Linked DNA regions of Macaca fascicularis. The protein of the gene in region 3 interacts with the protein of the main gene of each other region in a pairwise test. Links are inferred from orthologs where the notes say so. Each region holds a gene or a part of one and is shown on either strand. Other genes may lie near its edges. The genes, in order: CCDC116, PARVG, USHBP1, SERTAD3, CCDC146, DTNB and EXOC7.

What was found.
Region 1: the proteins of USHBP1 (region 3) and CCDC116 interact in binary tests that used the Homo sapiens proteins (3 or more experiments, as listed by UniProt). The two-hybrid records come from large-scale screens. The link is inferred for Macaca fascicularis from reciprocal best matches to the Homo sapiens genes USHBP1 and CCDC116.
Region 2: the proteins of USHBP1 (region 3) and PARVG interact in binary tests that used the Homo sapiens proteins (3 or more experiments, as listed by UniProt). The two-hybrid records come from large-scale screens. The link is inferred for Macaca fascicularis from reciprocal best matches to the Homo sapiens genes USHBP1 and PARVG.
Region 4: the proteins of USHBP1 (region 3) and SERTAD3 interact in binary tests that used the Homo sapiens proteins (3 or more experiments, as listed by UniProt). The two-hybrid records come from large-scale screens. The link is inferred for Macaca fascicularis from reciprocal best matches to the Homo sapiens genes USHBP1 and SERTAD3.
Region 5: the proteins of USHBP1 (region 3) and CCDC146 interact in binary tests that used the Homo sapiens proteins (3 or more experiments, as listed by UniProt). The two-hybrid records come from large-scale screens. The link is inferred for Macaca fascicularis from reciprocal best matches to the Homo sapiens genes USHBP1 and CCDC146.
Region 6: the proteins of USHBP1 (region 3) and DTNB interact in binary tests that used the Homo sapiens proteins (3 or more experiments, as listed by UniProt). The two-hybrid records come from large-scale screens. The link is inferred for Macaca fascicularis from reciprocal best matches to the Homo sapiens genes USHBP1 and DTNB.
Region 7: the proteins of USHBP1 (region 3) and EXOC7 interact in binary tests that used the Homo sapiens proteins (3 or more experiments, as listed by UniProt). The two-hybrid records come from large-scale screens. The link is inferred for Macaca fascicularis from reciprocal best matches to the Homo sapiens genes USHBP1 and EXOC7.

What each region holds. Positions count from the first base shown.
Region 1 is NC_088384.1:31,499,067-31,503,166, forward strand, and holds the start of CCDC116 (coiled-coil domain-containing protein 116), read right to left. Parts: upstream 2,801-4,100; 5' UTR 2,707-2,800; coding exon 2,437-2,706; intron 1,659-2,436; coding exon 1,104-1,658; intron 990-1,103; coding exon 405-989; intron 1-404.
Region 2 is NC_088384.1:7,370,835-7,374,334, forward strand, and holds part of PARVG (gamma-parvin), read right to left. Parts: intron 2,740-3,500; coding exon 2,638-2,739; intron 2,548-2,637; coding exon of another isoform or gene 2,539-2,547; exon of another isoform or gene 2,434-2,538; intron 1-2,433. UniProt on the Homo sapiens protein: Plays a role with ILK in promoting the cell adhesion and spreading of leukocytes.
Region 3 is NC_088393.1:17,583,620-17,587,678, reverse strand, and holds the start of USHBP1 (harmonin-binding protein USHBP1), read left to right. Parts: upstream 1-1,259; 5' UTR 1,260-1,702; coding exon 1,703-1,756; intron 1,757-1,851; coding exon 1,852-2,000; intron 2,001-2,301; exon of another isoform or gene 2,302-3,020; coding exon 3,021-3,459; intron 3,460-4,059.
Region 4 is NC_088393.1:47,545,587-47,549,547, forward strand, and holds the start of SERTAD3 (SERTA domain-containing protein 3), read right to left. Parts: upstream 2,801-3,961; 5' UTR 2,764-2,800; exon of another isoform or gene 2,577-2,763; intron 2,433-2,576; exon of another isoform or gene 2,306-2,432; intron 1,523-2,305; exon of another isoform or gene 1,212-1,522; intron 615-1,211; exon of another isoform or gene 451-614; intron 215-450; 5' UTR 209-214; coding exon 1-208.
Region 5 is NC_088377.1:144,179,880-144,182,394, forward strand, and holds the end of CCDC146 (coiled-coil domain-containing protein 146), read right to left. Parts: coding exon 2,424-2,515; intron 1,054-2,423; coding exon 850-1,053; 3' UTR 501-849; downstream 1-500. UniProt on the Homo sapiens protein: Essential for sperm flagellum biogenesis and male fertility.
Region 6 is NC_088387.1:96,566,272-96,570,494, reverse strand, and holds the start of DTNB (dystrobrevin beta), read right to left. Parts: upstream 2,801-4,223; 5' UTR 2,622-2,800; intron 1-2,621.
Region 7 is NC_088390.1:82,528,223-82,531,722, forward strand, and holds part of EXOC7 (exocyst complex component 7), read right to left. Parts: intron 803-3,500; coding exon 580-802; intron 1-579. UniProt on the Homo sapiens protein: Component of the exocyst complex involved in the docking of exocytic vesicles with fusion sites on the plasma membrane.

The DNA.
Region 1 (4,100 bases), on a different chromosome or scaffold from region 3:
CCTTGAGCACCTGCCAGTGATAGTGGCTGCTAGGAGTGGTGGGTCAAGGAGCCTTTCTCCTGCAAACTCATGTCCGGTCCTACCTTCGAGGAGGTCACCTCTGGACACAGTGAGGAGGGAGATGAGGAAGTAACTGGGGAGAGCTCAGGGAGAAGGTAGCAGGAAGAGCGGGGGTAGGGGCAGGCAAGTGGAGGTGTGACAACCCTGAGGTGGCCCTGGCCGCAGGCCACCTCCACCACTATCCCGGGCGCGGGCAGGGTGAGGTGCAGGCCCCGCCAGGGCTGGGCCCTCTGTCTGGAGCTCAGGGAAACAGGTGGGTTTTGTAATTTGGGATCTGAGTCAGGCTCCTTCTCCCTGGAGTGGAGTGAGGGGCTGGGGACATCGGGCTTCTCCATGGGTGTCACCTTGAGCTTGAATCTGGTGGCCACCTGGGCACTAGACATGGAGGGGGAGCCTCCTCTGTCCTTGTGTTTTCTCTGAGGCGTCTTGGGGCTGGAGACTGTGGGGTGGGGCTGCCCGCTGTTGGTGGGTTTAGCCGGCTCAGAGCCCAGCGGCGGCAGATTGCGTTGAACCTGCAGCTCTGAGGGGGGCTCCAAGCTGGTGGGGAACAGAGGACGGCCGTCGCGGCAGCGGGCGCCGCGGAGCTTATCCACAGCCTGGTTGACGACGCTCTGCAGGGCAGGGAAGAGGCGGTGGTCAGCCAGGAAGTTCAGTGTGCGATGGGGCTCACGGAGCGGACAGTAGCCAGGCAGGTCGAGGGACTCCAGCTGGCTCAGTAACGACTTGATCTCTTTATTGAACTCTCGTTTGCAGATCGGCTCCTGTTCTCCAGGCCTCGGCTCTGATGCTTCAGGCACACCAGAGCTTGAGCCCAGCAGCTCCGAGAACCAGGACAGGGGCTGCTCCTGGGTCCACTGAAAGCTGGTCTGGCTGCCCAGCAAATCCCACAGCAGGGAGTCCCTCTTGGAGCAGGACTGACTGAGGCCTTTCTGCAGAAAGAGGGTGACTCTGAGAAGTGTTCAGGAGCAGCCAAGCCAGGGCTGACCCTGGCCCTGGGCTCTCCGTGGGAGTCCACCCCACCCAGCCATGGCCCCGGCTCTCACCCCTTTCCTCTCCAGCTGTAGCAGCCGCTTGAGATTCTTCTCCAGCAGGAGTTTGTCCTTCACAGGTGGCAGTGAGCCTAAACCTTGGGCACCTAGGTCACTGTCCCGGCTGTGGGAGCCCAGCCAGCCAGCCATGAGGCTGCTATGGGAGTCGGACATGGAGCTGGAGCTGGATGGGTAGTTGTTGGGGTGTCCAGTGCAGAGGGTCGGCCGTACACGGTGCCGGTGTACAGTGCTGAGGCTGGGCCGGGCATGTGCCCGCCGCCCACCACTTGGCACCTCCACTGGGTCCTGCACCTCCACAAGCGGCACCCCAGCCTCGGTCTTCATGGCAGCCATGCGCTCAGTCGCCTTCTCCACCACTGTCTCCAGGCTGTCCAGGACATGGCTCTCAGTCAGGAAATCCAGAAAGTGGCTAAAGGGCTGAGGGTGCCTCTTGTTTCGGCGTTGGTTCTGGAGCGCTGAGCTGCCACATGTGGATGGTGGGTGTGGCACATGGCCCGGCTTGGAGGCTGGCCCCATCTCTGGAACCAGTGGCTTCTTGGGTAGCTGCACCTGAGCAGACAGGTATGTCACAGTGGGCATGGGTGCCCTACAGGTGAAGGGCTCCCTGGGGTCTTCCTAGGGTAACACTAGGACCTGAGTGAGAGTGAGTAGTGGAAGGAGCTGCATTTTGAAGTCTGGAGGCCCTGGATTTGGACCCTGGCTCTGCCACCTACAGCCTGATGACAGTGTGCAAGATGGCCCCTCTTGAGGTCCAATTTCCTTATCTGCAAAGTGGAGGTCTATTCAGGGTCGCCCTGAAGCTTTCCTAACACCTACATTTCACACACACAAGTCCTGGCTAAGGGACTTAGCCTGCTTCTGCCCTGATACATGGCAGGATGAGCAATCATGAACCTCTTGGAGTCTCCCTCCAGCTCCTCATCTGTCCATGCAGCAGGCCATCCCTGTCTCCATGGCAGGGCTGCAAACAACACCTGAGGTCTTGAGTGCAGACAATAGCTGAGGTCTTGAGCCCTGTGCTACCCAGGGCTGTTTCTCCAACTTGAGCCCTAGGCACCTAGTCAACTCCCAGTTCCCACTCTAGGGTCCCAGTTCACCCAAGCACCTTCCAGGTCGCTGGAAGTCAGAAGGAAACAAGGAATGAAATTGAGTGTGACAGGGGCAAGCAGGGGAGTCATAGGAGAAGTCAAGGCAATAAGGACTCAGCTAAGAGGCCCACAGAGCAGGTCAATAGACAATGAGAAATGGGGGCTGTGGTCTTGGGTGTCAGGGTTGGCGGGGAACATGTTGTGGCCTTAAGGGTCGGGGTCCTACTGGGCACACTTACTCGTGCACTGCACATGGAGTGGCTGGCCTCATCGTCAGCCACGTAGCCCGAGTGGTGGCGGCACCTGGCCATGTGGTCACCTGGCAGGTGACCGAGCCTGCTGCCCACCTCTCTCTTCAGCTGCGCATTCCTCTCTGCGTGGGCTGGGGAGACAACGTGAGGGTCTCCAATAGGTCCACACATCTGTGGCCCTGGAATCTGCGGTTCCCTTGCTGCCCGCACCCCGTGTCCTTCATGCATCCAGCCCTTCCTCTGCTCCATGGCCCTCATGCGTCTGCAGGCAGGCAGTTCCCAGAGTCATCGGGATGGAATCGCCGAGGACCATCCTGTCTCCGATCATCTTTGGATCTGCGTGTGCTTAACCCTCCCTACTCCCAAACCCTGGGCAACCTGGCTTTCGCCCCAGCCCGGAATCAACGGACTCACCAGAAACACCGCCTTGCTCCGCGCAGGCCAGTACAGTCTGCGCCCTCACTGGGACAGCTATACAGTGCGAGGAAGTCGACTGGCGGCCTCCACTTGCTTATTTGCATACCACATCCTCATTGGTTCTTACCGAGGAGCTCATCCACTACCCTCTCCGACACAATAGTTGGGGGCGGGGCCCACATTGGCCCAACCTCCAATTCTCTGGACTCTGCTCTCCCACACTCGTCTGGGAGCCGCAGGGTGAAGATGTTGGTGTCTACGTCCCCGCTGCCGGGAGGACCCCCACCCACCACCGAAGCTGGGGCTAGGCTCTATGATCCGCTCCTGCCCCGAGGGGAGTCTAAAAGCCAAAGCCACGTCTTCCACCGGTGATACAAGCACCTTCCTCGTGTCCTACCTGGTCGCTGCGCAGCCCTGGGCCTCCTGCTCCTGTTCCTTTCCAGGGGCCTCTGCCCCTCCCGCGGTGTGCACAGCCCCAGATTCTACCTTGAGACTTCTCCCCTCTGCAGTGGAGAGAGTGCTGGCTCTCAGTCACAGACCTAGCTTCAGTTCCTGGCTCTGCTCTTTCCTGCCAATGTGACTCAGCCTCTCTTAGCATTGGTCCTGCACTCTAAATGGGCTTGAGTGTTCTTCCAATATGGGAATATGGGATTCAATACAATCTCCCTACAACACACCCCGTATCCCAGTGAAGCCTTGAATATTCTTACCTCCTCTCCCTCCCTCCTTTTCTCTTTTGCTCAGTAATACCCCACCACAGTGTCACTTCTTCCAAAAAGCTTTTACTGTGAATTCTGCCACTCCGTACACGATTCACAGTAAACCCCATTCCAGACTCCACCATACCATGTTGCTACTTATGTGTCTACCAGATGGTGCTCCTTTGGGGCCAGAACTGAGGCAAGTCACCCTGAATCTTTAATACTTTCAGTGTCTGGCACCAAGTAGGTGCTCAATAAATGTCAGTCTCCTCCTTCCCATCTGCGCACCCTCGGGACCTCTGACCTTTCCAAGATCAGCTTCCAGTGGAGAATGGTGGTTGGTTGAGGTCTGACAATTCACCAGTCACTATAAACACAACAGTCGTTATGCCAAGAGCATGGTTGAAGGACTCTATGAGGCTTTCAATCCTCACATACCTCATGAAATATTGTTACTCTCGAGTTCTGCTCTGTCCTCTCAGCTCTGGCTACCCACTAGGTCAGGGACAGAGAGGACAAAGCAGGTCTGGGTGC
Region 2 (3,500 bases), on a different chromosome or scaffold from region 3:
GCCTCCAATGTCACCTCCTGTGAGAGGCAAGGCTGGGGACACTAGGGACCACATGTCCCTCAGTGCTTTCTCCTCGATGGTTCTCCAAACTCTTTCTTACTACCTGTGTGGCCTGAGTGGGGGGCAGGCATTGTCAGCCCATTTTCAGAGACAGAAAACCTGAGGTCCAGGCAGGCAGGGAGCTGGTGGTGAAAAGCACAAGACCCAGGCCTCTTGCCTGGTAGTGACCCAGGGTAAGCCTTGGCCCCCCGTGGACCTCTGTTTCCTTATTTGGAAAGTAGTAAAATCCCTTCTCATGGGCCAGGCCTACCGGGTAGGAAGGGCACTCCTGACAGAGGAGCAGCCTGTGCCAAAGCCCAGAGGTGTGAGAGCCCAGGGAGCTCGAGGAAGTGGCAGCACACACAACAGGGGCCTGGTGGGGGCGGAGGCAGGACTAGCCAGTGGGCACTGAAGGCTGTACCTGGGGAAGAGGCGGTGGGAGCTGCATCTTCGCAGGCTCACCTGCCCTCCCACCTCACCTCCATCACTCTCTCCGTCCCTCTTCCTCAGGTCAAGCCACAGCCCTCGTGCCTGGATGCAGGCAGCCAGCTCCAAGCCAGTCCACCAGCCTCTAGGGTCCAGGAACTGCTGAGCCCCCCCAGGTCAGGCCCCACCCTTCCAGCCCCTCTAGCCAGAGTGAAGCAATGACACCTCCCTGACCCATTCCTGTTCTTGCCCCACTCTGAGCCTTTGTTGACGCTATTCCCTCCCCTCTGCGAGCCCTTCCTCGGTAACTGTGCAAACCAACCCCTAACCAACCTCCCAGCTCGCCTCTGATGCAATGCCCTTCTTGACTCCTTGAGATTATTCTAACCCCTCATTGTTCCAGGTCCCTCCTCTGACCCAGGCATCTGAACCAACACATTTTGCTGTGGCCCTGCAAGACCACATGTCACCAGGAGAACAGTGGGCATAGACTGAGAGGTCCCTGAAAGCAGGAGCTGTGCTGGATCATCTTAACATCCCATACAGCTCAGGGCCTGGCACTAAACAGGCCCTCAGGGAATGAGGGAACAGACGTGTGGGTAGCGGATGGGTGGGTGAGCAGGTGGGTGGATGGGCAGGCAGGTGTATGGGTAGATTGGGTGGATCAATAAACAGAACAGAAAGATGGACTGAAGGACAGACAGATGGATGCATGAAACGACAAGCAGGTAAATGGACAGGTAGGCAAGTGGATGGATGAATGTATGGATGGTCAGACAGACATATAGATCAACTTCCTATGGGTGGGTAGACAGGCAGGCAGGTGGGTGGGTGGATGGATGGATGGATGGACTGGGTAGATGAATAAACAGGAAGATAGGTGCATGGACAGGCAGGTAGGTGGATGGATAGGTGGGCAGTTAAATGGATGTGTGCATAGATGGTGGGTGGCTTGGTAGGTGAACAGAAGGGCTAATAGGTGGATGGGTAGGTGGATAATAGGTAGACGGGGATAGATAGATAGGTAGATGATGGATGGACGGATAGATAGATGGATGGGTGGGTGGGTGGGTGGACAGATGGATGAGTGGGTGGGTGGGTGGGACGGATGGATGAGTGGGTGGGTGGGATGGATGGATGAGTGGGTGGGTGGGGGGGTGGATGGATGAGTGGGTGGGTGGGGGGGTGGACGGATGGGTAGGTGGGTGGGTGGATGGATGGATGGATGGGTGGATGGATGGATGTATGGATGGAAGGATGGATGGATGTATGGATAGAAGGATGGATGGATGGATGGATGGATGAATGGATGAATGAATGGATGGTTGGTTGGTTGGTTGGTTGGGTGGGTGGGTGGATGGATAGATGGGTGGGTGTGTGGGTGGGTGGGTGGATGGATGGATGGATGGATGGATAGGTGGGTGGGTGGGTGGGTGGATGGATGGATGGGTGGGTGGGTGGGTGGGTGGGTGGATGGATGGATGGGTGGGTGGGTGGGTGGGTGGGTGGGTGGATAGATGGATGGATGGATGGATGGGTGGGTGGGTGGATGGATGTATGGATGGAAGGATGGATGGATGGATGGATGGATGGATGGATGGATGGATGGATGGATGGATGGATGGATGGTTGGTTTGTTGGGTGGGTGGGTGGATGGATAGATGGGTGGGTGGGTGGGTGGATAGACGGGTGGGTGTGTGGGTGGGTGGGTGGATGGATGGATAGGTGGGTGGGTGGGTGGGTGGATGGATGGATGGATAGGTGGGTGGGTGGGTGGGTGGATGGATGGATGGATGGATGGGTGGGTGGGTGGGTGGATGGGTGGGTGGGTGGGTGAGTGGATGGATGGATGGGTGGGTGGGTGGATGGATGTATGGATGGAAAGATGGATGGAAGGATGGATGGATGGATGGATGGATGGATGGATGGATGGATGGATGGATGGATGGATGGTTGGTTTGTTGGGTGGGTGGGTGGGTGGATAGACGGGTGGGTGTCTGGGTGGGTGGGTGGATGGGTGGATGGATGGATGGACAGGCAGATATATAGACAAACAAGCTTCTCCTACACCCTTCACGTCACCTGGAAGTGAATAAACAGACTGGTCATGTCAGTTCTGTATATCTGTTCACCCAGAGGTAGACCATCAAGAAAAATCTTTGGAAAACTTACCATTTCCGCAGGAGAGTTGGGAGTGAGGTAGAATTCCTTTAAGTGCAGGAAGAAGCCTTCAAGTTGTCCAATCAGCAGGAGTAAGATGACCCCGTCTGCAAACTACAAAGGTAGGAACTGAAGACTGTCATACGGAAGAAGTCTGGGGAAGCCCACTGTGTCTTTTACAGGCTGTGTGGCCCTAAGGAAGCCGTACAAGTTCTCTGAGCCGCTGGTTCCTTGGTGAGAAGTGGGGAAGACATTCCTGACCTCACAGGGTTGCAGGTAAAAAGTGGTTTCGGGCTGCCTGGTACACAATACCTGCTCAGTGAAAAAAGCGCTTTCTAAACTTACTGCAGAATAGCCTCATGTCAGTTTTTAAACAGCACGCTGTTTCACAAGCTACAGAAACACAGGGGAAAATAGAGTTAAGTGTAAAATTATTCCATCAGAAAAGGCAGAGAGCAGCACACCGGGCTCATCTCGCCGGCTGCCACATTAATATTTCTGTCTGTTCTGTATGTTCAGAGATAAAGCTGTCGTCCCTGCCACCAGCATATCATATGTTAATATAATCGTATTGAGTCTCTTCAAAGATACAAAACACAGGATGGGATATTGGAAGAAACTGCCATTCGAAGCCCTTAATGGAATTTCCTCATATTAAGCCTGTTTCGATGTTATTAGTTTGGGCCTGAAATCTTTTCCGCCGCTATTCCTTGGTAATACAACTGGAATGCAAGGGACTTCCTTACCCCGTTTTATTGAACAGTCTCTAAATACCACCTTTGCACATGCCATGAGTCTCTAAAACCCATTATTTTACCAAGGGAGAGATAAAGATGGAACAGGTAGAATGTAAATCTCAGAAATCATAATCATCC
Region 3 (4,059 bases):
TTAAGAGCAGCCTGGCCAACATGGCAAAAACCCATCTCTAGCCGGGTGCAGTGGCTCACGCCTGTAATCCCAGCACTTTGGGAGGCCAAGGCCGGCGGATTACTTGAGGTCAGGAGTTCAAGACCAGCCTGGCCAACATGGTAAAACCCTGTCTCTACTAAAAACACAAAAATTAACCAGGCGTTGTGGTGGGCACTTGTAATCCCAGCTACTCGGCAGGCTGAGGCAGGAGAATTGCTTGAACCCAGGAGGTGGAGGATGCAATGAGATCGCACCGCTGCACTCCAACCTGGGCGACAGAGCGAGACTCCATCTCAAAAAAAAAAAAAAAAAAAAAAAAAAGAAGGTTGGGCGTGGTGGCTCACGCCTGTAATCCCAGCACTTTGGGAGGCCAAGGCAGGTGGATCACGAGGTCAGAAGATCGAGACCATCGTAGCTAACACGGCGAAACCCCGTCTCTACTAAAAATACAAAAAAATTAGGTGGGCGTGGTGGCGGGTGCCTGTAGTCCCAGCTACTCGGGAAGCTGAGGCAGGAGAATGGTATGAACCCGGGAGGCAAAGGTTGCAGTGAGCCAATATCGCACCACTGCACTCCAGCCTGGGCGACAGAGCGAGAAGAGAACTGTCAGCCCACAGTGAAGAGACAGGCAGAGAAGAAGAGTTCACAGGGGAGCCAAATAAAAGCCATATCAGCTCAGGGGAACATTCTAGCTCTTTTTTTTTTCTTTCTTTTTGAGACAGGGTGTTGCCTTGTTACCCAGACTGGAGTGCAGTGGCGTGACCATGGCTCACTGCAGCCTCAACTTCCAGGTGTTAAGCAATCCTCCCACCTCAGCCTCCCGAGTAGCTGGGACTACAGGCATATGACACCACTCCTGGCTAATTTTTATATTTTATGTAGAGACGGGGGTCTTGCCATGTTGCCCAGGCTTGTCTTAAACTCTTGGGCTCAAGCGATCTGCCTTCCTCAGCTTCCCAGAGTCCTGGGATTACAGGCGTGAGCCATGGTGCTCGGCCCATTCTAGATCTTGAGAAATAAAATCCAAGCGTCAGAGCTAGAAGGGCCATGGGCTTGGAGGCTGAGACGAGGAGGGGCTGAAACCTTGGGAGTCAGGTATGTGTGCCCCGCTAGGGCTGCAGGAAGCTGCTGTCCTCAAAAAGGAAACAACACAATAACAAGTCACATGACCAGGGGAGTGGGTTCCTGTTTCCTGGTCCCTCCCAGGCCAGGCTTGGCCAGCCCAGGCCTGACCAGGCAGTGGCCAGAGTGACCCCAAGACGGCGTCCAGGGACTCAGGCCTCTGATCAAGTTACCCCCAGAAGATCAGAGAGGTAGAGAGCTGAACCCGTCATTTAGGAGGGCCGCGGAGGAGAGGGAATTATTGAGATTGCATTTCCAGGCTCAAAGAGAGGAGGGAAGGGGACAAAGACGTAGTGAAGGTAAAGAAGGCAGAGAAGAAGGGGGAGATCCAGACAACCTTGTTAGGTAGTGAGCTGCCTGTCCAGGAGGCATTCAAATGTGCCCAATCAACATTGATCACAAAATCCCTTCCTGAGGGGTAGTCAATGTCCCATTTCACAGCAGAGGAAATTGAGGTTGTCCTTTGTCCAGGACAACAAAGGCAAGAGGTCATGGCAGGCTGTGGTTTTAGGGGTTGACGAAGGAGAAGCATTCAGAGAGCACTGGCTTCTGGACAGCAATGAGTGCCCGGGCCACGCGGCCCCGAAGCCGGCGAGGGAGGCATGCTCCACCCGTAAGTGTCGCCCTCTCCCCTCCACACCCAGCTCCTGGGGACCCCAAGGTCCCATCCTGCCTGGCTCAGAGCGGGGCCACGGGGGTCATTTGCAGGGTGAACTGGACCCCGTGGCTGAGAGTTCAGAGGAGATTGAGGCAGCCAGTGGGAGCTCCAAGCTCAGCTTTGCCCCACCTCCTGTGAGCTCCGGGCTGGAACAGCTGGGCCCCATGGAGGAGGTCAGTGGCCAAGGCCTAGGAAGCAGGTAAGACCCCCTTGGTCTGTGCCCTTCACTCCAGTCCACATGCATCTTTGCCATCTGCAGATCTGCTGATGTGCCCTCTCTGCTCACACACCTACCATAGCTCCCTGTTGCCTTCAGCCTGACTTTCTTTTCTTTTTTTTGAGTCTTGCTCTGTCACCCAGGCTGCAGTGCAGTGGCACAATCTCCACTCACAGCAATCTCTGCCTCCTGGGTTCAAGAGGGAGCCTCAGCTTCCCGAGTAGCTGGGATTACAGGTGTGTGCCACCACACCCAGCTAATTTTTGTATTTTTAGTGAGACAGGGTCTTGCCACGTTAGCCAGGCTGGTCTTGAACTCCTGACCTCAGGTGATCCCCCCACTTCGGCCTCCGAAAGTGCTGGGATTACAAGTGTGAGTCGCTGCCCCAGAAGACCCCATTTCCAGAATCTTCTGTCTCTCACCTTCAGGACTTTCCCACTGCCCGTCACAGTCCAACTTACTATTCACTCTGCTTCGTAGCCCCAGGTCTCCCCTCCAACTTCTCCACCACCTCTGTCCAGCCTCTTCCCTGAATTCCCAGCCTCCCAGTCTCTCCCTGGGATGCAAGTCCCAGAACACGCAGCTCTTGCCAACTCTGCCCCGCTCACACCTCCCGAAGACCATGAAGTTTAAGCCCTAAGAATTCCCTGCCCTGGGCTGAGCGTTGTGGCCCATGCCTGTTATCGCAGAACTTTGGGAGGCCAAGTCGGGCGAATCACCTGAGGTCAGGAGTTTGACATCAGCCTGGCCAACATGGTGAAACCCTGTCTCTACTAAAAATACAAAAATTAGCCGGGCGTGGTGGTGGGCACCTGTAATCCCAGCTACTTGGGGGACTGAGGCAGGAGAATCACTTGAACCCAGGAGGTGGAGGTTGCAGTCAGCTGAGATCGCACCACTGCACTCCAGCCTGGGCAACAGAGTGAGACTCTGTCTCAAAAAATAAAAAAGAATTCCCTGCCCAGCATGGAGCGACTCAAGTGCCTGAGTTGGTGTCCACAGGACCGACAAGAAGACGGATGGGGGCTCTGGCAGGGGACTGGCCTCAGCCCCCGAGGTGCCCCACAAACCTGCAGTGGAAGCCTACCAGGCCCCAGAAGCAGCCCTACAGTACAAGGAGACTGTGCCCCCTGGGATTGGGGCCCCCGATGTGTTTCAGACCCTCCAGCACGCTCTGAGCTCCCTGGAGGCAGCGGCTGCAGCCTGGCGCCACCGGCCCCCCAGCCATCCTGGGCCAATGGAGTTGGAAGACACAAGCAAAGGGGGACCAGGTCCCCTTGGGAAGCAGGAAGGGGCAGGGAGCAGCCAGCGAGAGGCAGCTCGCCTGGCTGAGAGGAATGCCTGGCTCCGGCTGGCCCTGAGTAGCCGAGAGGATGAGCTGGTCCGCACGCAGGCCTCCCTGGAGGCCATCCGAGCTGAGAAGGAGACGCTGCAGAAAGAGGTGAGTGGGGCCATCCTGAGTCCTATGTGGCTCTCTGTCTGAGGGAGGAGGCAGGCCCGATGTAGGCAATATTCATTCATCTGTTCATTCCAAAAACCTTTTGAGGCTGGGTGTGGTGGCTCACGCCTATAATCCCAGCACTTTGGGAGATGGAGGCAGGAGGATCCTTTGAGGCCAGGAGTTCAAGACCAGCCTGGGCAACACAGCAAGACCCCTACCTCTGCAAAAAATAAAAAATAAAAATCAGCCAGGTTGGCCAGGCACGGTGGCTCACACCTGTAATCCCAGCACTTTGGGAGGCTGAGGTGGGCGTATCACAAAGTCAGGAGTTCAAGACCAGCTTGGCCAACATGGTGAAACCCCATCTCTACTAAAAATAAAAATAAATAAATAAATAAAAGCCAGGTGTGGTGGCATATGCCTGTAATTCCAGCTACTCAGGAGGCTGAGGCAGGAGAATCACTTGAACCCGGGTGATGGAGGTGGCAGTGAGCTGAGATCACATCAATGTACTCCAGTCTGGAGAACAGAGTGAGACTCTGTCTAAAAAAAAAAAAAAAAAAAAAAAAAAAAATCAGCCAGGTTGGCTGGGTGCGGTGG
Region 4 (3,961 bases), about 30 Mb from region 3:
GAAGTGCAGCCTGCAGCTGCTGGAGGGTGTTATGGATGAGGACATGCCTGCGGAGGCTGGGTGCTCGGGGGCCCAGGCTGCGCTGGACTTTGTCTAGGGAGATGCGGAGCAGGGCTTGCTGGTAGCTCTGAAGGCCTGCTGGACTCCACTCCCACCTCTCCTCCTCCTCTTCCAAATCAGAGTGTTTCCTCTTCAAGCCTCCCACCATGATGCCCTGTAGAGAGAAGAGGGGCATAGGGGCATGTCAGACACCAGACACCGTAGTGCTGGCTCAAATCCCACTTTTTCAGGCCTATTGAGTTGTTGGTGATTTTTAATCATCTGAATCTCGGTTTACTCATCTATAAAATGAAGGCTGTCTGAATCCTACAAGGTTAAGGAGGTGAATACATATGTGATTAAGAAAATAAGATCTGGACTTAAGTACAGCTAGATTTAAATCCCACTTACTTGCCTATTGTGGCCTCAAACAGTGAATTTACATCCATGAGAATCAATTTCCTCATCTGCCAAATACGGATCCTAACAAGTTCCTCTGAGCCTTAAAACTGTTCTTCCACAATATTAATTTCTTCAAACATGGAGCACGAAAGACAGGTGTGGAGCAGAGAGACCTGGATTGGAACTAGGGAACCCCAAATTTGATTTCTGTACTGGAAACTGCTCAGCTGCGTGATCGTGGGAAGTGACCTGAGTCAATTCTCAGGCCTCAGTTTCCTCATCTGTAAAATGGGGACTGTAAAAAAAATACTTCTCACCACCTCTGTCTAAGGAGATGCCACGTATCTATAGGGCCCACCACACAGGAAGTGCTTAATGAACCAGAGTTGTGTTTTTTTTTTTTTTTTTTTGAGACGGAGTCTCGCTCTGTCGCCCAGGCTGGAGTGCAGTGGCCGCATCTCAGCTCACTGCAAGCTCCGCCTCCCGGGTCTACGCCATTCTCCTGCCTCAGCCTCCCGAGTAGCTGGGACTACAGGCGCCCGCCACCTCACCCGGCTAGTTTTTTGTATTTTTTAGTAGAGACGGGGTTTCACCGTATTAGCCAGGCTGGTCTCGATCTCCTGACCTTGTGATCCGCCCGTCTCGGCCTCCCAAAGTGCTGGGATTACAGGCTTGAGCCACCGCGCCCGGCCGTGTTTGTTTTTTTTTGTTAGAGACAGGGTCTCGCTCTGTCGCCCGGGGCTGAGTGCAGCAGCGCTACCACAGCTCACCGAAGTCTCGAAGTCCCGGGCTCAAGCGATCCTCCCGCCTCAGCTCCTGAGTAGCTGATTACTCCTGAGTAGGGATTACTACCACACCCGGCCTCGATCAAGAGTTAATTGCCAGTTATACGCTCAACAGATTTACTGAGTGCCTACTATATTCGAACTTCCTGGGTCCCTGCTGGGGCACCTATGTTAAGATTCTTCTTTCACAGTCAGGATATTTCCATGTCCTCTTCCTTAACCAACTGGGAGCGCTCCCAAGAGTAGGAAAGGGGCCTCATTCCCTCTGCCCGCGCTTTCAGATTCCCCCAAAGCGCGCCCCACAGGAAAACTTGCTAGAACTCAGCTCAGACCAAGCCCCGCCCCCTAGGGGGGTCCCGCCCAATCAGACCTCGGCACTGCAAGGCCCCGCCCCTCCATGGGTCTTTAGAGAGCATCCAGGAACGCCCCAATTTGTCCCAGGGGCTTCTGGGAAACGGGGGCCAACAGCCGCCAGGTACACGAACCGACGTCGAGCACGCACTACAATCCCCAGAGGGCTCCGCCCGTCCAGGGGACGAGCCCCCCTCCCCCGACCCCGCTCTCCCTCAGGGCATGCGCACAGTGGCACAAGCGAGTGGGGGAAGGGAACCCGGACGTCCAGCTGCCGGCGCCCACCGAGCCCCGCCCTCCGTTGCCTCCGGGGCGGCGAGTCTGAGCTCCATGCCCGGAACACCCCTCCCCCACCCCTGACTCCGGCTCTAAATCTGCTTTCTCCCTGTCCCTCCGTGCCTTGAAAGTCCGGGATTCTCCTCCCAAACTGCCCTTGGATCCAGAGACCCAGATCCGAACACATCGCTCAAAGACGACAATGCTGCGATCTAGTTCGCGAGACTACGTATCCTAATTTTGATACTTCCTCCCACTTCCCCTATTCTCCTGACTTTCAAACGCCCCTGGACTACACCTCTAAACTCGCTGCCCGGCTCCAAGACCCGAACATTGAACTCTTCCCGGCATCCTCCCTTCCCCCGCCAGTGCGTCTTGGAGTCCAAGAATCCTTGACCCTAGCTCTCTCGCTTCTCCAAATACTCAGGATCTCAGCCCCAAACCTCTCACACCTTTTCCAGAACACGATAAAGCCCCGAATTCAACCCGTCCGGAAGACCCAAGTGGAATCGAATCTCCAGGTTCCCTGTCTCAAAAGTTCCTTCCCTCTGTTCTCTCGCTTCTCCAAACGCCCCACGCCCCACGTCCCAGCTTCAAACTCCCTCCACTTGAAAATACTGCCCCAACAACCTCGCATCCCCTCCTGGGTCTCGAACTCAGTCTCGGGCCCCCAGACCCTCCCTATCATCACCCTGAATCTGAGGCCCCCTCCCCCGGTCTCACCCAGACCCCGCCTCCGCAAGTCTCCGGGGCGCGCCTCTCCCTCCTCCAGCCTAAGGTAAATTCCCAAGCCAGGCGACCACTCCTCACCCCAGCTGCCAGGTTTGCCACGACCACCTCCTGGAACGCCCACAGCGTCGCGACCCGCCAGTGCCGGGACCCACCAGTGACCGGCCGGGGCCTCGCTCACCTCGGCAGGGCCTCTCCGTCTGGCTTCGGGCCCACCCAGCCCCGCCCCGGAGCCGAGCCGCGAGCCGCGATTGGCTGGAGTCCCGCCCGCCGCGGGGCGTCGATTGGCTGGGCGGAGCCATCCACCATTGCCCGGAGACGCCGGACCCGCCCACCCCTCCCTAGCGCCCCGGGCCATTTAAAGGAGTGCAACTGGCAGGGGGCGGGGCAGCGCCTCCAGGGGTGGAGGGCGGCTGGTCCAAGAGAACCGCTTCCTTCCACTGGGCTACGGTCCTCGCTCCAAGATCGTCACCACTACTCCCTGCAGTCCCTTTTTGCCAGGCCTGGACCCCACCGCGGAGCCAGAGGGGCTGGCATACCCTCTGGCTCCGGGAGGTCCAGGCAGGCGGGGCCGAACAACCGGAGGAGGTCGCGCCCCCGGGGTTCCGAGGGCGGACGCCGGGGCGGGGGATGACGTACCGAAAGGCCAGCCAATGGTGTGACGCGGCCCGCGTTGCCTAGGCGATCGCAGCCCCGCCCCCTTGCTGCGCTTCTCCCGCCCCCCGTACGTTACCCCGCGGCCCCTTCTTAATCCTCGAGTTTTCTCAACGCGTCCTCTGGTGGTCCTACCTGGGTCTCCTGACACCTCTCTTCTTCCCCGCTCCAACAAGATGACTCCTCCGCTGCTGTTCATGGCTTCCTACCCCTCCTCCCCGAAGACAAACTTCAAACCCCTTCCTTTTGCCACAAAGCCCCTCACGACCTTGCCTGATGCGCTCTCCTGGTTCTCTCCGATCCTGCCCCATTGAGTCACTTCCAGTTTTTCTAAAATGGCTTCAAGCTCCCATTCCCCCCATCACGAAAACGAAAGGATTTTGTCTGTTTGTTTTCTTCCCTGCCTTACCCCAGTGTCTACAATGCCAGGTACATAAGTTCTCAAACATGACAATAAAAGGCCTCTGGATCTTTATTATTTATTATTATTATTATTATTATTTTTTTTTTTTTTTGAGACGGAATCTTGCTCTGTCACCCAGGCGGGAGTGCAGTGGTGCAACCTCGGCTCACTGCAAGCTCCGCCTTCCGGGTTCACGCCATTCTCCTGCCTCAGCCTCCCGAGTAGCTGGGACTACAGGCGCCCGCCACCACGCCCGCCTATTTTTTTTGTATTTTTAGTAGAGATGGGGTTTCACCGTGTTAGCCAGGATGGTCTCGATCTC
Region 5 (2,515 bases), on a different chromosome or scaffold from region 3:
AAAGGATGAGGAAAGGAAGGAATGGGGTAGATTTGTTAATAGACACAAAATTACAGTGAAATAGGTGGAATAAGTCCTATGTTCTATACCACTGTAGGATGACTATAGGTAACAATAATATATAGTTTCAAACAGCTAGGAGGATACTGAATATTCCCAACACAAAGAAATGATAAAGTTTGAATGTATACGCTAATTACCCTGATCTGATCACTATACATTATATGTACTGAAACTTCACTATGTACCCCATGAGTAGGTACAATTATTATTAGTCAAAAAAGTAAAATGAAAAAAAATGCAAACAGCCATGACAAGTTTCACTACTTTACATAATTTAGATTTACCAAGATTAAGTGCTACTTCTTATTCGACAAAGTGAGTTATGCCTTTGCAATACTTGAGATATTTTCCTTTTCAAATAGCCATTGTTTCTTTTTAAAGTGTGTAGATTGAACGGTATTTGTTTTTTCTTTAATAAACAAAGACTACTCTGCCAATTTCTGTACTTCATTGAAAAGAGATTTATTTTTAGTGCATTTTTATAGCACCTTGCCAACTACAAATTTCTGGAATGTACTCAACATAAAGAGTGAAAAAGAAAATATAAGCAATTCAAATATATACTTTGACATATAAATGTAGGACAGTTCTGTGTCCTATTCAATGTCATGAAAGGTATAGTAGTTGGTAGGTAAAAAGAAACCATGTTGTACTCTGTTGTTGACTAATTGTGGTTACCTTACTTATCAATAAAATTGGAAGTATTATGCTCACATTTTTCACCTGTGGGTACAAGGAAGCCTGGTTGAAGTCCTCTCCTTGAGAGGCCTGGATTTGTTCACCTACTCAGATTTCAATTGGCTTTATAATAGGTTTCCTTATGTGCCTCATATTGGCTCCAGGTTCACTGGGTTTAAAAGGAGCCAAAGCACCATAAGGTTTTGGCAAAGGAAGAGTGGCCTCTGCTTCTGGGATGTAGGCATTTGGACGCTGCTCTGCAGTCGTGTAAACACCATTGGGCATCTGGCGATTATCTGCTTCCAAGAACTCCTGCAAAGAATGATTTTTCCTTTTCAGTTCTCTGAAAACGCTGGTGAAGTCACTTTATCCTTAGGTCCCAAAAGACGCAGCTGGCCTGGACAGTCTTTGACTGTGCTAGCTGATACTCCCCAAAGGGATGGGAGGAGTAGGAGGGTGGAATCACACCACACACACACACACACACACACACACACACACCCCCACCCACCCACCCACCCCTCATTGGAATGGGCTGTATTGCTTCAGCATCACATTATTCCTGGAGTTTAGGGTTTTTCAAAGACTGCTTCGTGGGTCCTAACTATGTTTCCACCTCAATATCTGTCATCAAGCACTAATTATTTCCCTGTTTTTGACAAAGGCAGAGCAACATATTTCCTTTGGTAAGTCATTGGTGAGCAAATATTACAATGGAAGAGATAGAGGAGTAAAGTGCAACCAGAGGAGGAAAACGGTCACCAGCTTGCTCTGAACCGCAACGTTTTCGAGATTTTGCCTGTGCCTCTGGAAAACAGAGTAATCACTTACTGCACTAAAAAGCCCTCTGATAAATGACAGTGGGACACCACAGGTAAAATCTGAATGCCCTAAAAGGAACAGTCCCAGGTGGTGCGGAAATTATAAATCATGTAATTTATACCTGTGCTCAGGTATTCCTAGTGTGTTTTGAATGCAGTTTTGTCTTGGGTTCAGGAGCAAATAGGGACCCTTTTGGTGACATCCACTGGACAGTTTGAGTGAGTTGTACATCTGGAGGATGTAGACTCCTTGGAAAGAGATGCCTAATTCCAGTCTAAGAATACTGACAGGTCATGGGGGTAGGCAGAAGATCTGGTATCTAACTTGCAGGGGGAGTCAGTGATAGACCTAGCCTTAGGCCAGAGGACTAAGGTGGGAAAATAAAGGGGGGCCGCTGAGGCCTATGATGTACATCGAGCATCTGCAGAAGGCATGGCAACTATAATGTGGGTGGAGGCCTCACTGTATGCTGTGGAGGCCACAGCAGATGAACATGGAACAGTCAGGTGTGGTCTGAGCAGAGGTGCCAAGACAGAGATTGGAGACTTAGAGACAAGACCGATGCCAGCCTGGTCGTCACTATGCTGGTGGAAGGCCATGATGTTCAGCCTCGGCAGCCCAGGATGTAAGGCTGTGGGGTGGGACCTGTGCTTGCTAAGTGTTCTTCAGTGAGTATTGTGGCACTCTGGATTACTGCACTTTGACTTATCTATAGAATATCTTTAAACACACTTCTGATGACTGTTGGGACTGTGTGTGGTAGAGTGGGGAAATTTTTCTTATACTGTGGGATGAATGACCCCCTGAAAGCAGCCCCTGCTGGCACCCTTTAGAAAAGCAATACAGGAGCCAAAGCCTACCTGAGACTTTTCAGCGAGGGCCAAGGCATGCATTTCTTCATCTCGAAGGACCTTCAACCATTCTTTCTCAATTTCCTTATTGAGTGGCAGAC
Region 6 (4,223 bases), on a different chromosome or scaffold from region 3:
CCACCTGGGATGTGAACCATTCCTTTGTCCAGCATATCCACACTGCATAAGCCACCCTCTGGTTACTCACTTAGTAGCTGTCTCAATGATCAGATTGACTGTCATGGTATCACAGTGCTTGTGTTCAAGTAACCACTGTTTTACTTAATAATAAACCCGAAGTGCAAGAGTAGTGATGCTGGCAATTGGGATATGCCACAGAGAAGCCAAACATATGCCTAACAGAAATCATTAATCTCTCATGGTACCTAATTTATAAGTTAAAACTTTATCATAGGTGCTTAAGTATAGGGGAAAAAAACAGTCTATATAGGGTTTGGAATCAGCTGTGGCTTCAGGCATCCACTGGTGCTCTTGGAACATATCCCTGAGGCTAATGGGGGGACCACTGTACACATTTTTCCAAAACTCATCCAACCACACATGGGAAATCTGTACATTTTATTGTGTCCACTATACATCAATAGGTTGGTTTTAAAATAAATATATAAACAAAATATCATCGAGAGCGCCTGGAATAAGGCACCCAATATTGTAGAACCTACGCACCTCTCAACAAGAGACCTGCTGGCTGTACACAGTCACACAGAGTGTGCACTACACAACTCCAGGAGCTGCCGGGCACGGGGACTCCAATGTGAATGGTGCTCCCTAAAGCTGGGCAGTATACAATCTACACAACTAGACGCCACAGCTCTGATGCTCATATAATTCAAACAGGAGAAATAAATTTACTTATTCAAGACTTCCTATACAATGCCAGATTTTGATTATTACTCTTATTTTTCACACGAAGAAACTAAGGCCCTGGGGTAATATAAAGACAAAAAATAAAACAATAAGTTGAAATTCTCTTGGTTCTGAGTCTAATTTTCTAACCATAGGTAGAAATTTGTCTCCCGGGCATAGTGGACATCCAAAAACTGCCAGCACTACCTTGACTGCACAACCCCTTTGAAAGGCAATTCCACTTATGCATTATGATAAAAATCCTCAGAGAACTCATAAAAGGTCAAGTTTTAATTTGGCAGACAAAGTAACCCAACAGGCACTGCAACCCAGGTTACTGAAACAGCAGCCTGGAGCTCCAGAGTTCAGAGATTCAACCAAGGCAGAGGACAGGTAGGATTCTAGCCCTTACAGAAAAGCAGAGGCACCGATAGCCTCGCACTACAGGTCTAAGATCCAAGAACTAGGATGAAAATGAAAAAGTGTTTTCTAGACAACACTACCCTCTTCCTTCTCAAGTGACAGGAAAAGCCAATGGGAGAAGGAACAAAATGGGATGATCTCAAGCAACAGCCCAAGGAGCAAGCTCTTGACGGTCAACATGTAAGACACATGGGAAAGTGGTAGTATGGCCACAGAAACCAAGACCTCGCCGCCTTAGCCATTGCTTTAACGTGCCCAGACCTTAGAAACTGGGTTGCCTGGCATGGCAAAAAAAAAAAAAAAAAAAAAAAAAAGGCAGAGAGAGAGAACTTGTGGAACAGGGGAAATCTAGCAACGTTCCCTAACACTAGAGTGACTGACACTGCTCCATGGCAAATGTGGCCAAATCTTGCTTGTCCATTCATTCATGCAATAGACATTTATGGCTCGACCGCTGTGAGACAGGCAACATTCTGAAGACTTTGCAGTGAATTGTCATGGAGCTTATTTCTGGTTGGGAAGGAAGGAAACTTCCTTTCTTTCCAAACGTCTTTTTTCCCCTCTGAGAGCCCCCTTTAAATGGTACCCGTAGGAGCCTTCGTCGGAGCCTTCGAAACTCTCCCAAATTTCTCCCATAGGCTTATTTGACCTTTCCGCTTTTTCTCCAAATCACGCAAATTATGGCTTCAATTTCCCAATACTGGGAAAAGACAAAAGAGACCTAAAGTGAATACGGCATAAAACATAAAATTGGACGCTCTTTTGTATTTTATGTGCATATCTTCACAGTCACACTGCCAGCACCTCAATAACATGAGGGTGTTTCATACTATTTCGTGGCCCCAGTGCTGACTACGGGTCTCTACCCACAGTAGCTGGAAGGTCTTTCTAATCCCAAGGCCTGGCACGGGAATTTAAGGGCAAGTATTCGTTACCGGCATCCTCCTCTCGGGACACTTTCCTGACCAGGGTGACCTCCCGGATAGGTTCGCTATTAGGCACCTCGGGAAAAAGTGATTTGGGGTGATCTGAAATAAATATCCTTCCCTCTGCCAGGGCCTGCCCGCCTCACCTGCCCTCTGCCAGGACCTGCCTCACTCGCCCCTTCAGCACCTAATGCAGAGCCGCCTCCAGGCGAGCCGGGCTCGGGCAGCATCAGCCCGGCGCCGCGCCCCAGCTCGCGCCCGTGCCCCGGCGCGTTCCGGACCCCGAGACCCCTCCCGGCCCGGGCTCCGCAGCATCCCCTCTGCCTGTCCCTCCGCGGCCGACTGCGCTGTCCCACCTCGCAGCCCCGCGCGGTGCAGTGGCCCCGGCTCCCCGCGCCCTCCCCGCCTCCCGCGGCGCCGCACCCGCAGACTCCCGGGTCCCCAGTCCCGGCGCAGCGCGGGCTCCCGTCCCGCACCTCGCGGGCGCGAGGCTCCAGCCCGACTCTGCTCCCCGCAGCCCCGGCGGCGGCCGCAGACCCCCACCTTGCTCACTTCCCTGCAGGAGCAGGGGGCGTCGGGAAGGTCTCCTGCGGCCTCACTCCTCCTCACGCTCCGGCCCGGCCCCCTCGGCTGAGGCAGCGGCGGCGCCCACTCAGGCCCCGGAGCCGCCCCCGCGGCGAACGTTCGCAGCGCCTGGCTCGCACAGCTTCCCCGCCCGGCACGCGCAGCGCCCGCCCCCGGCGCGAGGGCGCGAGGGCGGAGGGCGGAGGGCGGAGGGTGGAGGGGCGGGCGCGCGCCCAGCGCGAGCGCGCGACCGGGGGCGTGGCTTCTGCGCGAGAGGAGGGGGCGGGAGCGGCCGAGCACCCCTTCACCCCGCCCCCGCGGTTCCGGGCAGGCGGGAAGCTGGCTCCATCCAGGCTTCTCCCGCTCTCTGGCGCCGGGCCCGGTCCCTTTCCATCCGCTGGTATCCGCCGGCAGGGTGCCCGGCCCGACGTGACTACCGGGCAAAGAATGCAAAGAGCCACCCCGTGAATCATTCTCTGCGCCTAGGGCACAAGCCTCTGCCCGAGTGACCCGCATGAACTCCGCAAGCTCGCTCAGCCGCGGCGTTCACCCCGCGCCGCACCAGGTACCTGTGGGCGCACGATCACGGTCACAGCGCCTGGGCTCGAGGCTCCCCAAACTTAGCGGGGAAAACAGCCGTGTACACAACCAAGTCCGGTGACCTGTGCAGAGCCAAGGCACAGTGCGATGCTGTGGGAAGGCACAGAAGCTAGAGATGACTTCCGCTTGGACGCCGCAGAGGGCTTCCTGGAAGAGGCGGCATTTATGGTCAGCCTCGAAGGAAGAAAAAGAAGTCCTAAGAGGAAAAAGGGAGGACATTAGGGCTGGGAAAACAGATTGGGCAAAGGAGCCAGGGGCAGTCAGATTTACCATCAAAGCACCAGCTTTTTTGTGTTTTACTGTTACCCATCTTTTATAGAATTCTTTCCAAACTGTGTGAAATACAGGAGATGGTGCCAAATTAGGATGTAGCAAGGACTTTGTAAATGGTTCAAATGGTCATTTTTCTCAACGTTACTTAAGACTCAAAACAGCAACGTCCTTTAGGGGCTATTGGTCAATGATGAAGGCTGTAAGCTCCAGAGCTAAGCGACCCCAGGCTTGCATGCTGGGAGTATGGTTTTCACTGTTTTTTGGCACCTTATGGTAAGGCAGATCGTGCCACCTCCTGCTGCTGCCTGCCTGCCTGCCTTTAGAACACCCTCTTCCTCCTCCTCTCCTCTTTTTATTTTTAAACTCCTATGGTGAAGGAAATGCTGATAACCAACTTTGTTAAATGGGAACAAATAGGTTCCTCAAAAGATGAGCATTTTTGGCCGAGCGTCGAGGCTCACGCCTGTAATCCTAGCATTTTGGGAGGCTGAGGCGGGCAGATCACTTGAGGTCAGGGGTTCGAGACCAGCCTGGCCAACATGGCAGAACTCTGTCTCTACTAAAAATACAAAAATTAGCCGGGCGTGGTGGTGTACACCTGTAATCCCAGCTACTTGGGAGGCTGAGGCAGGAGAATCGCTTGAACTTAGGAGGCAGAGGTTTCAGTGAGCCGAGATCGCGCCACTGTACTCCAAGCCTGGGCAAGAG
Region 7 (3,500 bases), on a different chromosome or scaffold from region 3:
AGGCATCGCGGAAGTGGAAGATGGACTTTTATTTTTCACCCATGGCTTTCTGTACCATTTGAAAATTTTACAACTAATCAAAAAAGGCAAATGAACATAAAAATCAAGACAAGAAAAGTTTGAATTTGCCTAGATTCACAGCTTGATATATAAGTCATAGAATGGTTGCTTATATTGGTTCCAGTTAAACATCCTTTTATCAAAAAAGCCACGACAAGTGGATTAAAGAATAAAGGCAGCTGGGCACGGTGGCTCACGTCTGTAATTCCAGCATTTTGGGAGGCTGAGGTGGGTGGATCACCTGAGGTCAGAAGTTCAAGACCAGCCTGGCCAACATGGCAAAACCCCATCTCTACTAACAATACAAAACTTAGCCAGGTGTGGTGGCGTGCGCCAGTAATCCCAGCTACTCAGGAGGCTGAGGCAGGAGAACCGCTGGAACCCGAGGTTGCAGAGGCCGCAGCAAGCCGAGATTGCACCATTGCACTCCAGCCTGGGCAACAGAGCAAGACTCCATCTCAAAAAAAAAAAACTCACTCTGCCTCCAGTGTGCCACGTGGCCGAGTCAGAACCTCTTACCTTGGTTGCGGCCGTATTCCACCAGCCAGCGGGAAATGCGAATGACATCCTGCAGCACGCTCTCGGGCAGGTGCTCCAGGGTCACATCCTCTTGGGCGTCCAGATCATCATCACCACTGATCAGATCCAAGATGAGCACAGGTGAGACGACCTTACTGTGCCGTGTCATCAGGCTGCGGAATTCAGACTCCAGGGCCTCCTTCCCGCGCTCAAAGAGCAGTTTCTGCAGGGACAACAGAAGGAAGCGGGTGCCTGCTGCTTCAGTGCTCTGCCAGTCCTGGCCTTCCCCTGCCTGTGCCAGCTTGGTCTTCCTAACTCAGGGCCTCTGCCCTTTTCTGCCCTGATACCCTTTTTTTTTTTTTTTTTTTTTTTGAGACAGAGTCTCGCTCTGCCGCCAGGCTGGAGTAGTGCAGTGATACAATCTTGGCTCACTGCAACCTCCAACTCCCTGGTTCAAGCAATTCTCCTGCCTTAGCCTCCCGAGTAGCTGGGATTACAGGCACATGCCACCACACCCAGCTAATTTTTGTATTTTTAGTAGAGATAGGGTTTCACCATGTTGGCCAGGATGGTCTTGATCTCCTGACCTCAGGTGATCCACCTGCCTCAGCCTCCCAAAGTGCTGGGATCAGGCATGAGCCACCGTACCTGGCCTGCCCTGATATCCTTTAACCCAAAGAAGAAATGTCAGGAAGCGGCCTTGGTGACTCCTTTACTTCATATTCTCTCAAAATTTGTGTTTACAGGTAAAAACCAGGGTTTTACAAGAAGTAGGTGCTTAATAAATACTGGCTGATTATTTTCTCACTGCACCGTTAATGTGTCTTCTTGTTAGTGGGGGGTTTGCAAAAGAGAATAAATAAATAACTTGAACAGTATCAAATTGAAAACTTCTGTGCTGCAAATGATAACATCAACAAAGTGAGGATAACCCACAGAATGAGAGAAAATATTTGTAAACTACATATCTGATAAAAGACAGGTATCCCAAACATAGAAGAGAATGAATCTGTCCACACGATGACGTGTATAAAAGGGTTTATAGCAGCATTACTCACAAGAGACAAAAATTGGAAACAACCCAAGTGTCCATCAAAGGATAAATGGCTAAAGAAAATGTGGTCTGGCTGGGCATGGTGGCTCACGCCTGTAATCCCAGCACTTTGGGAGGCTGAGGCAAGCGGATCACCTGAGGTCAGGAGTTCAAGACCAGCCTGGCCAACATGGTGAAACCCTGTCTCTACTAAAAATATAAAAAATTAGCTGGGTGTGGTGGTGGGTGCCTGTAATCCCAGCTACTTAGGAGACTGGGATAGGAAAATCGCTTGATCCCAGGAGGCAGAGGTTGCAATGAGCCAAGATTGTGCTATCGCCCTCCAGCCTTGGCAACAAGCGCGTAACTCCGTCTCAAAATACAAAAAAACAAAACAAAACAAAACAAAAAACAAAAAAAGAAACTGTGGTCTATCCACAAAAAGGAATAGCATATGCAAGAAAAAGAAATGAAGTACTGATACACGCTATAGCATGGACTGATCTTGAAAGCATCATGCTAAGTGAAAGAGGCCAGCAAAAAAGGCCATGTATTATAAGATACCATTTATATCAGAAATTCAGAATAGGCAAATCCATAAAGACAGAAAATAGATTTGTGATTTCCAGAGGCCAAGCCACTATCTTGCTCTGATGATCTAATGACCCCAAAACTTAAACACAAAGATACAATGAAGGCAGGTACAGTGGCTAATGCCCATAATCCCTCTCAACACTTTGAGAGGCCAAGGTGGGAGGATCACCTGAGGACAGTAGTTTGAGACCAGCCTGAGCAACACAGGAGACCTCCTCTCTACCAAAAGATTTAAAACTTAGCTGGGCATGGTGGCACGTGCCTGTGGGCCCAGCTACTCGGAAGGCTGAGGCGGGAGGATTGCCTGAGCCCAGGAGTTCGAGGCTGCAGTAGCTATGGTTGTGCCACTGCAGTCTGGCCTAGATGACATAGCCAGATCCTGTCTCTTAAAAAAAAATTAAAAATTGGCCGGGCGCGGTGGCTCAAGCCTGTAATCCCAGCACTTTGGGAGGCCGAGACGGGCGGATCACGAGGTCAGGAGATCGAGACCATCCTGGCTAACACGGTGAAACCCCGTCTCTACTAAAAAATACAAAAAACTAGCCGGGCGAGGTGGCGGGCGCCTGTAGTCCCAGCTACTCGGGAGGCTGAGGCAGGAGAATGGTCTAAACCCGGGAGGCGGAGCTTGCAGTGAGCTGAGATCTGGCCACTGCACCCCAGCCTGGGCGACAGAGCAAGACTCTGTCTCAAAAAAAAAAAAAAAAAAAAAATTAAAAATATATAATGCAAAAAAAAAATCACATAGATTCAAGTTCCTAGAGTAGATTCACAGAAACGGAAAGTGGAATGGTGGTTACCAGAAGACAGAGGAAGGGAGAATGGGAAGTTAGTGTTTGATGGGAGTGGAGTTTCACTTGAGGAAGATGAACATATTTGTGGAGATAATAATGGTGATGGCTACACAACATTGTGAAGGGACTTAATGCCACTGTTAACTTAGAGTTAAAATAGTATATTTTGGCCGGGCACGGTGGCTCACGCCTATAATCCCAGCACTTTGGAAGCCAAGGCAGGCGGATCACCTGAGGTTAGGAGTTCGTGACCAGCCTGGCTAACATGGTGAAACCCCGTTTCTACTAAAACTACAAAAAAAAAAAAAAAATTAGCCGGGAGTGGTGGCGCACGCCTGTAATCCCAGCTACTCAGGAGGCCGAGGCAAGAGAATCGCTTGGGAGATCGCACCATTGCACTCCAGCTTGGGCAACAAGAGCAAAACTTCGTCTCAAAAAAAAAAAAAATTTATATTATGTATTTTTAACCAAAATAAAGAAACAACAAATACATTTATAAAAAT